Linked DNA regions of Arabidopsis thaliana. The protein of the gene in region 2 purifies or fractionates together with the protein of the main gene of each other region. This does not show direct contact. Each region holds a gene or a part of one and is shown on either strand. Other genes may lie near its edges.

What was found. The genes of interacting proteins can lie anywhere in the genome.
Region 1: the proteins of GIP1 (region 2) and TUBG1 purify together in Arabidopsis thaliana (affinity purification with western blotting; 2 studies listed by BioGRID, with this or other methods). This does not show direct contact.

The regions. Positions count from the first base shown.
Region 1 is NC_003074.8:22,811,537-22,816,883, reverse strand, and holds TUBG1 (gamma-tubulin), read left to right. Parts: upstream 1-1,667; 5' UTR 1,668-1,872; coding exon 1,873-2,001; intron 2,002-2,176; coding exon 2,177-2,489; intron 2,490-2,593; coding exon 2,594-2,994; intron 2,995-3,132; coding exon 3,133-3,186; intron 3,187-3,260; coding exon 3,261-3,365; intron 3,366-3,467; coding exon 3,468-3,542; intron 3,543-3,634; coding exon 3,635-3,679; intron 3,680-3,814; coding exon 3,815-3,943; intron 3,944-4,033; coding exon 4,034-4,138; intron 4,139-4,214; coding exon 4,215-4,283; 3' UTR 4,284-4,802; downstream 4,803-5,347. Other genes in the region: AT3G61660 (uncharacterized protein), read right to left, coding at 343-762. UniProt on the Arabidopsis thaliana protein: Tubulin is the major constituent of microtubules. The gamma chain is found at microtubule organizing centers (MTOC) such as the spindle poles, suggesting that it is involved in the minus-end nucleation of microtubule assembly.
Region 2 is NC_003075.7:6,037,379-6,040,775, reverse strand, and holds GIP1 (AtGCP3 interacting protein 1), read right to left. Parts: upstream 1,722-3,397; 5' UTR 1,570-1,721; exon of another isoform or gene 1,082-1,569; 5' UTR 1,071-1,081; coding exon 855-1,070; 3' UTR 851-854; intron 741-850; 3' UTR 550-740; downstream 1-549. Other genes in the region: CRP4 (ECA1 gametogenesis related family protein), read right to left, coding at 2,839-3,207. UniProt on the Arabidopsis thaliana protein: Required for gamma-tubulin complex recruitment to the microtubule organizing centers (MTOCs). During mitosis, modulates gamma-tubulin complex localization, spindle stability and chromosomal segregation. Necessary for gametophyte development and embryogenesis.

The DNA of each region.
Region 1 (5,347 bases), on a different chromosome or scaffold from region 2:
ACTGTTAGTAAAATGGCAATTGCTAAACGACTCCTATATCATTCTATCGCTATATATCTCATATTCCCCAATGTAAACGTTGATTGCATGTTGATCCACGTTTCACTCTTTGCCTAAACGTTTCAGAGACGTATGATGTGATGGATATTAAATCCATGAAATTCTTCAACTTAAACTAATTACTCTGCATTTAATCCATAAGTCAATAAAATGTATTTCCCGTTTCATTACAGTTTATTCGATTAAATTTTCAAATTAAAAAACATGAGCAAGTAATATACTTAATTATTATTTTACGAAGGATCAAACAAATACTAAAAACAGAAAAAGAAGATATGAAAATCACATCTTCGAAGAACCAGATCTTGTTGTAGAAATCCTTATCTTAGAGAGGATCCGACAAAACATATTCTTCTTCTTGTTGTTGTAATTATCGACGACAGCTTCGGTGTTTTGCTTTCTCTTCCACCATTTGGTTCCAAAAGCACCGCACAACAGTTTACCAGTCGTCGAATCAGAGGAACAACACAGATCAACGACGGTGTTGGCCCCACGATTGGCCTTTTCTTCCAGATCAGACGGTCTTCGAGAGCAGCAAACTTTTCCGGCGCCAGCAAGAGAAGGTAGAGACATGAAATGGCGTTCAATGATGTGAGTAAGAGAAACGAGCTCGTAGGAATCATAGAGTGGACTTCCACAATCCCATAGTATACGATCATCATCATCAACCATATTCTTCGTTTTCTCTGTGGTCTTTTTCATGAATGATGTTTTTGGAAAGTGGAAGTGTGTTTCTCGATGTAGATTTCTGACAGTGAGTGCGTGTCTTCTATTGAAAGTGTTTTAAGGTTTTTGTTTTCTTCCTCTAGTCTTTGTTTTTGGTCGAATGGACTTATAACAGTCAAGCTGGCGAGATTTGTTTATGTTTATTTGACGATTATTTACCTTTAATGGAGGTTTTTTTTTTTGTTGTTAATTACTCGTTAATGAATCCGGAAATTGGAGAATATAGATACACTACGAATTTGATAAAGGGAAATATGTGATTATCATTTTACCATTTTAGTTGGTTTAAAGAATGAACTCTTCCAATTTATCATTTTACCATAAAGGGAAATATGTAATTTAAATTTTTAATTTTATGTTGAATTTCAATTTAATCATAAATTTTCGTTGACTAAGTTGGTTAAGACATGTCGTTAGAAATTCTTCCAATAAAAAATCTTAGATCTTGAAAATAGATTTCCAATTTTTTTTTCTTTTTCTTCGGATTCTTGCTTCTTTTTTTAATTTAAAGTAATTTTTCGTCTCTAAGTCGACAGATAGCATCGAAAAAGAAGAATTTGTATCTCAATTAGCTTACTCAACGAGAATTCATGATTAAATTGAAAAACAACATAAAATTAAGGATTTAAATCACCATACCCAAAATTCATATTTTAAACTAACGAAAATGGTAAACTAATGATTTAAATGACATTTTTCCCATTTGATAATCAAAAAACTCTAAAAATTAATCTTAAAGTTAAAAGTTATTATTCCATCCTTTACATGCAAAATTCTTCCTTTTTAAGATTTATTGGGCTGAAGAAATACAAAACGGGCCTATAATTGGCCCAATATGAGTAAGCAGACGTTAGTTAGCTTAGCTGAGAGAGTGTGGCTTTAATTAGAGCATATGGTTTAGTGTTAATCTATGCAAAAATTTATCTTCTCCGTCCGCAAAAATTCTTTAAAGCATTGGATCGAGTTTTAAAAAGGTATCCGCGCCAGAGCTTAATTTAATCATTTTCATTTCTTCATCATTCATCATCTTCCTCACAGTCTCGAAACCCTAGTTTTGTACCCAATAACAACTTTCTGGGTTTAGAAATGCCTCGGGAGATAATTACGCTTCAGGTTGGACAATGTGGGAATCAGATCGGTATGGAGTTCTGGAAACAGCTTTGCCTCGAGCACGGTATCAGTAAAGATGGTATTCTCGAGGACTTCGCTACTCAGGTCCTTCTTCTTCTGAACCAACCAAGCCTCTCTTTATAATTAATTGTCTACTTGAATTTCTTAGGTCTTATTGATTCGAAATCGTTGTTTCTGGGTTTCTATTAATCGACAATTGAATACCCATTTGGGATTAGTGGATTAGTGGATTTTTGATGTTTTGATCTTGTTTGTGAAGGGAGGTGATAGAAAAGATGTGTTTTTTTACCAAGCGGATGACCAACACTATATCCCACGAGCTCTCCTCATTGATTTGGAGCCTAGAGTCATCAATGGTATTCAGAATGGTGATTACCGCAATCTCTATAATCACGAGAATATCTTCGTTGCTGACCATGGTGGTGGTGCTGGTAATAACTGGGCCAGTGGTTATCACCAGGGGAAGGGTGTTGAAGAGGAAATCATGGACATGATTGATCGAGAAGCTGATGGAAGTGACAGTCTTGAGGGTTTTGTTCTTTGCCACTCTATTGCTGGAGGCACTGGCTCAGGTAAATGATGAGGCTTTCTTCTTTTAGCATTCTCATGTTTTTTCACTGCTTCTTCTGATGTGAATGACTCCCTCCATCTCTCTCTCTCTTTCTTTCACATGAAGGTATGGGATCTTATTTGTTGGAGACTTTGAATGATCGCTACAGCAAGAAGTTGGTTCAGACATACAGTGTCTTTCCCAATCAGATGGAAACGAGTGACGTTGTTGTCCAGCCCTACAACTCACTTTTGACGCTTAAGCGGCTTACATTAAATGCTGATTGTGTTGTTGTCCTTGACAACACTGCTTTGGGAAGGATTGCTGTGGAGCGTCTACATCTGACAAATCCTACCTTTGCTCAAACGAATTCTCTAGTGTCTACTGTGATGTCTGCTAGCACAACAACACTGCGTTATCCAGGATACATGAATAACGACCTCGTTGGCTTGCTTGCATCTTTGATCCCAACACCAAGGTGTCACTTCCTCATGACTGGATATACACCATTGACTGTTGAGCGCCAGGTAAGATATCTCAACGAGTTTAATATCACAAAATAATTTTATGGGAAGCGATCATTGTATCTTGAACATAAATTCTACAGTGTGCAAATGGTTTTTTTGATTGATTTCCTGCTCTATTAACTGACTTGTTCTTGGCAGGCAAATGTCATTCGTAAAACTACTGTGCTGGATGTTATGAGAAGACTTCTACAGGTGAGCTGTTTGCCTTCTCCAATCTTTTTCCGAAACTTGAATCGGTTGTGCTTCTAACATGATTGTATTTGCAGACAAAAAATATCATGGTTTCGTCTTATGCTAGAAACAAAGAAGCTAGTCAGGCAAAGTATATATCAATATTGAATATAATTCAAGGAGAAGTCGATCCCACTCAGGTACTTTTACCTAGCTGTTTTTTGATCGGACACATTGAGGATGAATTGGTTATTCTTTCTTGCTGATGTAATCTGCTCTGTTATTTCGCTACTTGATACTAGGTGCATGAGAGTTTGCAGAGGATACGAGAAAGAAAGCTTGTTAATTTCATTGAGTGGGGACCTGCAAGCATACAGGTTCTAACCTAATTGTGTCTGCAAATTAGTTATTGCTTTTGGCTTCACCATGGACTTGAATCATAATTTTTTCCATATCTTACTCTCAACAGGTTGCTCTTTCCAAGAAGTCCCCATATGTTCAAACTGCCCATAGGGTAATCTTATATCACTCTATATCTATCTGTCATACTGAGAGTTGCCGCTCCTTACAGTTAATGTCTTAGGCTGCTAGTTCCTGCTTTAGAAGATTCAACAAAGACTCTTATTTTATGGTGTATTTGATATTTCAGGTCAGTGGTCTTATGTTAGCAAGCCACACTAGTATCAGGCACCTATTCAGCAAATGTTTGAGCCAATATGATAAGTTGAGGAAGAAGCAAGCTTTTCTAGACAATTACCGGAAGTTTCCCATGTTTGCTGTAAGTTGACTGCTCAAGTATAATGGCTTTGTTTGGCTGATGTTTAGTGCAACAAACCCAGCTTTGACAGTTACATGTTGATATGAACAGGACAATGATCTTTCAGAGTTTGACGAATCAAGGGACATAATTGAGAGTTTGGTAGATGAATACAAGGCCTGTGAGTCTCCAGATTACATCAAATGGGGAATGGAGGTATATAAGCTTTTCCCATCAATAATCTTACTTATGGATGAACTCGAAATGATAACTGTATCTGTGTCTGTCTCAGGACCCTGAACAGCTTATGACTGGTGAAGGCAATGCTTCAGGAGTTGTTGATCCGAAGTTGGCGTTCTGATTATTATATAAAAACAAAAACCAGAGTAAGTCGCATGAAGTTTCACTTTTAACTGAGATATTTCAGGTGATCATAGGATTACTTAAAAATGGGTTTTGGTAGGAGCAGTAGTAAGTGTTGGCACGTAAAACCTTGGAATAGTGGTATGATGTGGATGAGTTTTTTAGTCTGTTAGATGAATGTGTGTTTCCTGGGATTGAGAGCACACAAAGTTGCATCTCCTCACTCCTCAGGAGAAGGAATCTAGAATTGTAATATTTATGGGTGTTTTAGCTCATGTCTCTGTGATCGGAGTATCATGTTCTCCATGTGTGGTTAAAAGACTCGAAAACTCTAGAAAGCAAGAAGCATGTTGTGTTGATGAAGGAATTGGGTTTAATGGATTCTATTTTCTTTGTATATATGCTGTGATCTAAACTTTTACTAGTGCCGTGTTGATCATAGTAAATTCTATCGGTCAACTCTCCTTTGAGTTTCTTTTTGCATACGACGCCGTTCTGGAAGCAAATCAAACTTAACCAACAATATAAAATCATATTTATAAAAAAAAACCTTTGCAAGTTGAATTGAATTTACTTACTATATAAGAATTTAAATTTCGTGGACCTCATATTTTATAATATAATGGGATTAGGTAACAAATTACACTAATGATTTTCCAAGAAGTCGTTTTAGACGCGAGTATTTGTAAATTAGTAAGCAAATAATAAAAAGAGATGTTGACAAAACGATAAACAATCCGACATCAACTGCGATTTATTTGGCCTTATGATGAATAGATTTTACTTTTTAGATATCGAAAGTGTATGTTACTTTGTTTGTTAGCTAAGTCCTTATCTTTCTTCTTATTTTGAAACTAAGCATAATCTTACGAGTAAAAACCAAAATCTGACTAAAGACCTATAACAACACTTACTTACTAGCCGTTACATATGTTTCACTCAAAGCATAAATTTTTATAATAACAATTTGTTTTTATTCTCGTATCAATAATTTTTTTTAAAAAAAAGGGGAACAGCTTGGCGAATTATTCCATTTTTTTAATTTAAAAGTAAAGAACTGAA
Region 2 (3,397 bases):
CCAAGATGCATGTCCCTCGAGAAGAAGCATGTTTTAATGTTATCGACGGTAAGATCTGTGTTTGGAGGCATCAGCAGTAAGTATTATGACACTGCTGAGAATTATGGAGAAGTTTACGACCCAAAGACACAGACTTGGGAGCCAACAAAATGTACTGGAAGATTTTCTCGCGAGAAAATTATTGGTTTGTGCCCTACTGTTTGCTTGTTAGAGTCAAAGAATAACGTATGGTGGACAGCGAGGGTTTCTGAAACTCGAAACTAGTCTGCGGTGATATATGCACGTTCACGATTAGAGGACTTGAAGAACCGTCCTCTAAGTATCTTATTTCGGTGACAAAACCCTGGCCTGAGGAAGGAGAGTGATAGTTCGGTGGAAGACTTATACTAAGGAATGTAAAACGGAGATTTGGTGTGCAGAGATTTTGATTGAGTGTGATTTCCCTCTTCGGGGATACATAGAATGTTTTTACCTTCCAGGGGTTGTGAATCAGATGATCCCAAATTCCTTTTGCATTCTGCTTTAGTGACACATGATCACTGAATTTTCTATGAGCTTTTGAGAGATAAAATTACAATTATATACTTTTTTTTGCATTCTGCTACTTTGGCTTTCAAATAACGGTTCATACAAATAAAAGAAGTTATAATTCATCCATACAAATTTTGTTTAAATGATACAAAAAAAGTAGTAACAAGATTCACATACCAACCACAATACTTGTATAATCCATTGCATACCTGCAACATAAATTTCGACCGGTCGATATGTTAGATCTGAAAACAACAGAAAGAGGTAGACTTGGGCATAGACTCGTCAATCATCATTAGACTGAGAAAATTCTCAATACCTGATCAGTGTATAGATGGTGTGGTTGTGACAGAATCGGGGATAGACTCGCGACGAAGCTCTTTCACAACAGTAGCTAGAGCTTCAGGGTTAACACCAAGATCACAAAGAGCTATGAGAACTGACAAAGTATGCCGGTCCAAACCCGTGTCCAAGATGTTTGACATGCGAAACACAAGCTCTAGTGACTCTCTTGCTGTCCGAGATGCCTCCTCATCCATACTGATCACACCTGTTAAACTCCACAATTTTAAAGTCCTAAGGTAGTTAGTGAATTATAGAGTTTCTACCAAACCAAATTAGACAAAAGTAAGTGAACTATGATCTAACAAGAACCAAGTCAAAGACTCTTAGGTGATTTTGACATAAGAAGTTAGAAACTAGAGTCTTATAAATTACACAACAACATTTCAAGCTAGAGCTTTGTAGTGAAGATACAATGCTCACACACACAAAAGTGAGTCAAATTTGTTTCAGAGCCCAATAATATTATCTGATAGGTGAACAAGGATTAGTCTAATAGATCAGTTAATACCAAAACCAAAACACAACCCAGAAACATTCAATTCAAAAGAAATGTAATTCAGATGAAAAATGAGATTGAAATTAGGGTTTTTATGTCGGCGGCAATTTGCATAACATCGAATAAATTTCAAATTTTTTATTTCGAGACTAAGAATTAAGGAGTAATCTGATAGAAACGAAGATAAGAAAACTTACGTTTAGAAACGGAATTTGCAAAAATAAAGTATGAAGCTTGGTCTTGGAGATAGTCGCAGACTCACAGTGTGAAGTGAGAAGTGGGAGACGAAGGGAAAGGACTTGGAGGTCTTTCAATAAATGTAAATTGTGTTATGTCAAAAGAAAAAAAGTTTATTGTCTTTCAATAATCATATTAATATTCTAAACAAAAATATGTTTGAAATATAACTCCGACACTAAGATTGATAGTGTTAATTTTTTTTAATGAATTATACTAATGAAAAGAAAATAATATAACTCTGACACAATTGTTTTTCTTTTTTAACATCTGAAAAAAACAGATTTTTTATAATTGAGATAAATCATATAGAAGATGTTTGTTTTTAATATTTTTTTCTCGAACAAATGCTTATTTCATTATATAAGAAATGAGTTTTCAAAATTATTAACTCACGTGTCAAATTTATTAATAAGATATTCGCACATGTCAAATCAAATTTTTTTATATTTAAAAACATAAATAGAAATTTTTTCTAACCTTATTGAAAAAGAAATATATACATAAAGTCAAAAATAATGTTTCTATATTCAAATTTTTTATTTAATATACTAAACTATTGAACTAATGAACTAATTCTATTAAAATTGATATATTCAAAACAGAAGTATAAGTTCTTTATTTTGTTTTGAAAAATATTAATATGTGTTTTAATATTTTCTAATAACTTAAATATGTTTATTCTTTTATTTTCTTAAGTTTATTTTTTTCCCTCAATTATATCGTTCAATTTGTTTACAACAATATGCATCTAGAGGCTCCGTTGCGTCCGTCTTTTTCTTGATGTTGTATGTCGTCAGTCGTCTTTGTCTTATCTTTGTGTTGTACTCTGAGAAATACCTTATTATATGTAATCAATAAAAGCATGTTATATAGAATCTATAGAATGTGTAAGATTAAAATTTGTATTTAGAAAATACAGATTACTATGTAAAATTTAAATCTCGTAAAAAATTATTTAATTCTCACAACTGTCTATTTAGAAGGGAATTATCTAATATAATTCCAAGTTTTGAAACATTGTAAGACAAAGTTAATTATAGAATCGATGTTTCAAGCTGTTATTCATTAGAATTGAAGAATGAGTAAATATTGAACCCAAATACAACTTCTCAAATGTTTTTACTTTATATGATATTTTTTTGGAGTATAACATGTAGCGTAAGCTAAAATTGTAAGAAATAAATTGGAAAAAAAATTATCTATTTAAAAAATAATAATTTAAAACTCTATTTCGGTGTAGGAGGAGTTACACCGGCAATTCTTGAACATTGTTCTTTTAGCATCGGAGGGAAAAGCGGAATAAGTGGAATTTTTGGTATGCAGTTGGCTTCAGCGTCCAAAAATGCTTTGCAACAAGCAGAACCTAAATTACTGAATTTGCCAATAAAAATGGATTGAGAAATCTCTGCAATGCATTCAGGAATATCCATCACGGATGACCAACATTTCGTTATATCAGGTAATCCTGGCATTCCAGGAATCGGTTGAAACGAAAATGGAAAAAGAAACGGAGCCGGAAACTGAGGTAACTGAGCATTTACAGAAACTATGATGCATAGAACCACTAAGAGTGAAAACACATTTTTGATAGGCATAATGAGAAACTGAGAAATAAAAAAGCCTTAGTATAGCCAAATATATGCTTAATGCTCTGTTTGTTTTTGATTGATGAACAACAATAAGATTCCTGCTTATTTATATGGAATGAAATGTAAAACTGTGATATTAATTATTTTAATAACATCTTTGAATGGTTTAATTAGGTATTTGATTAACAGTTTTATA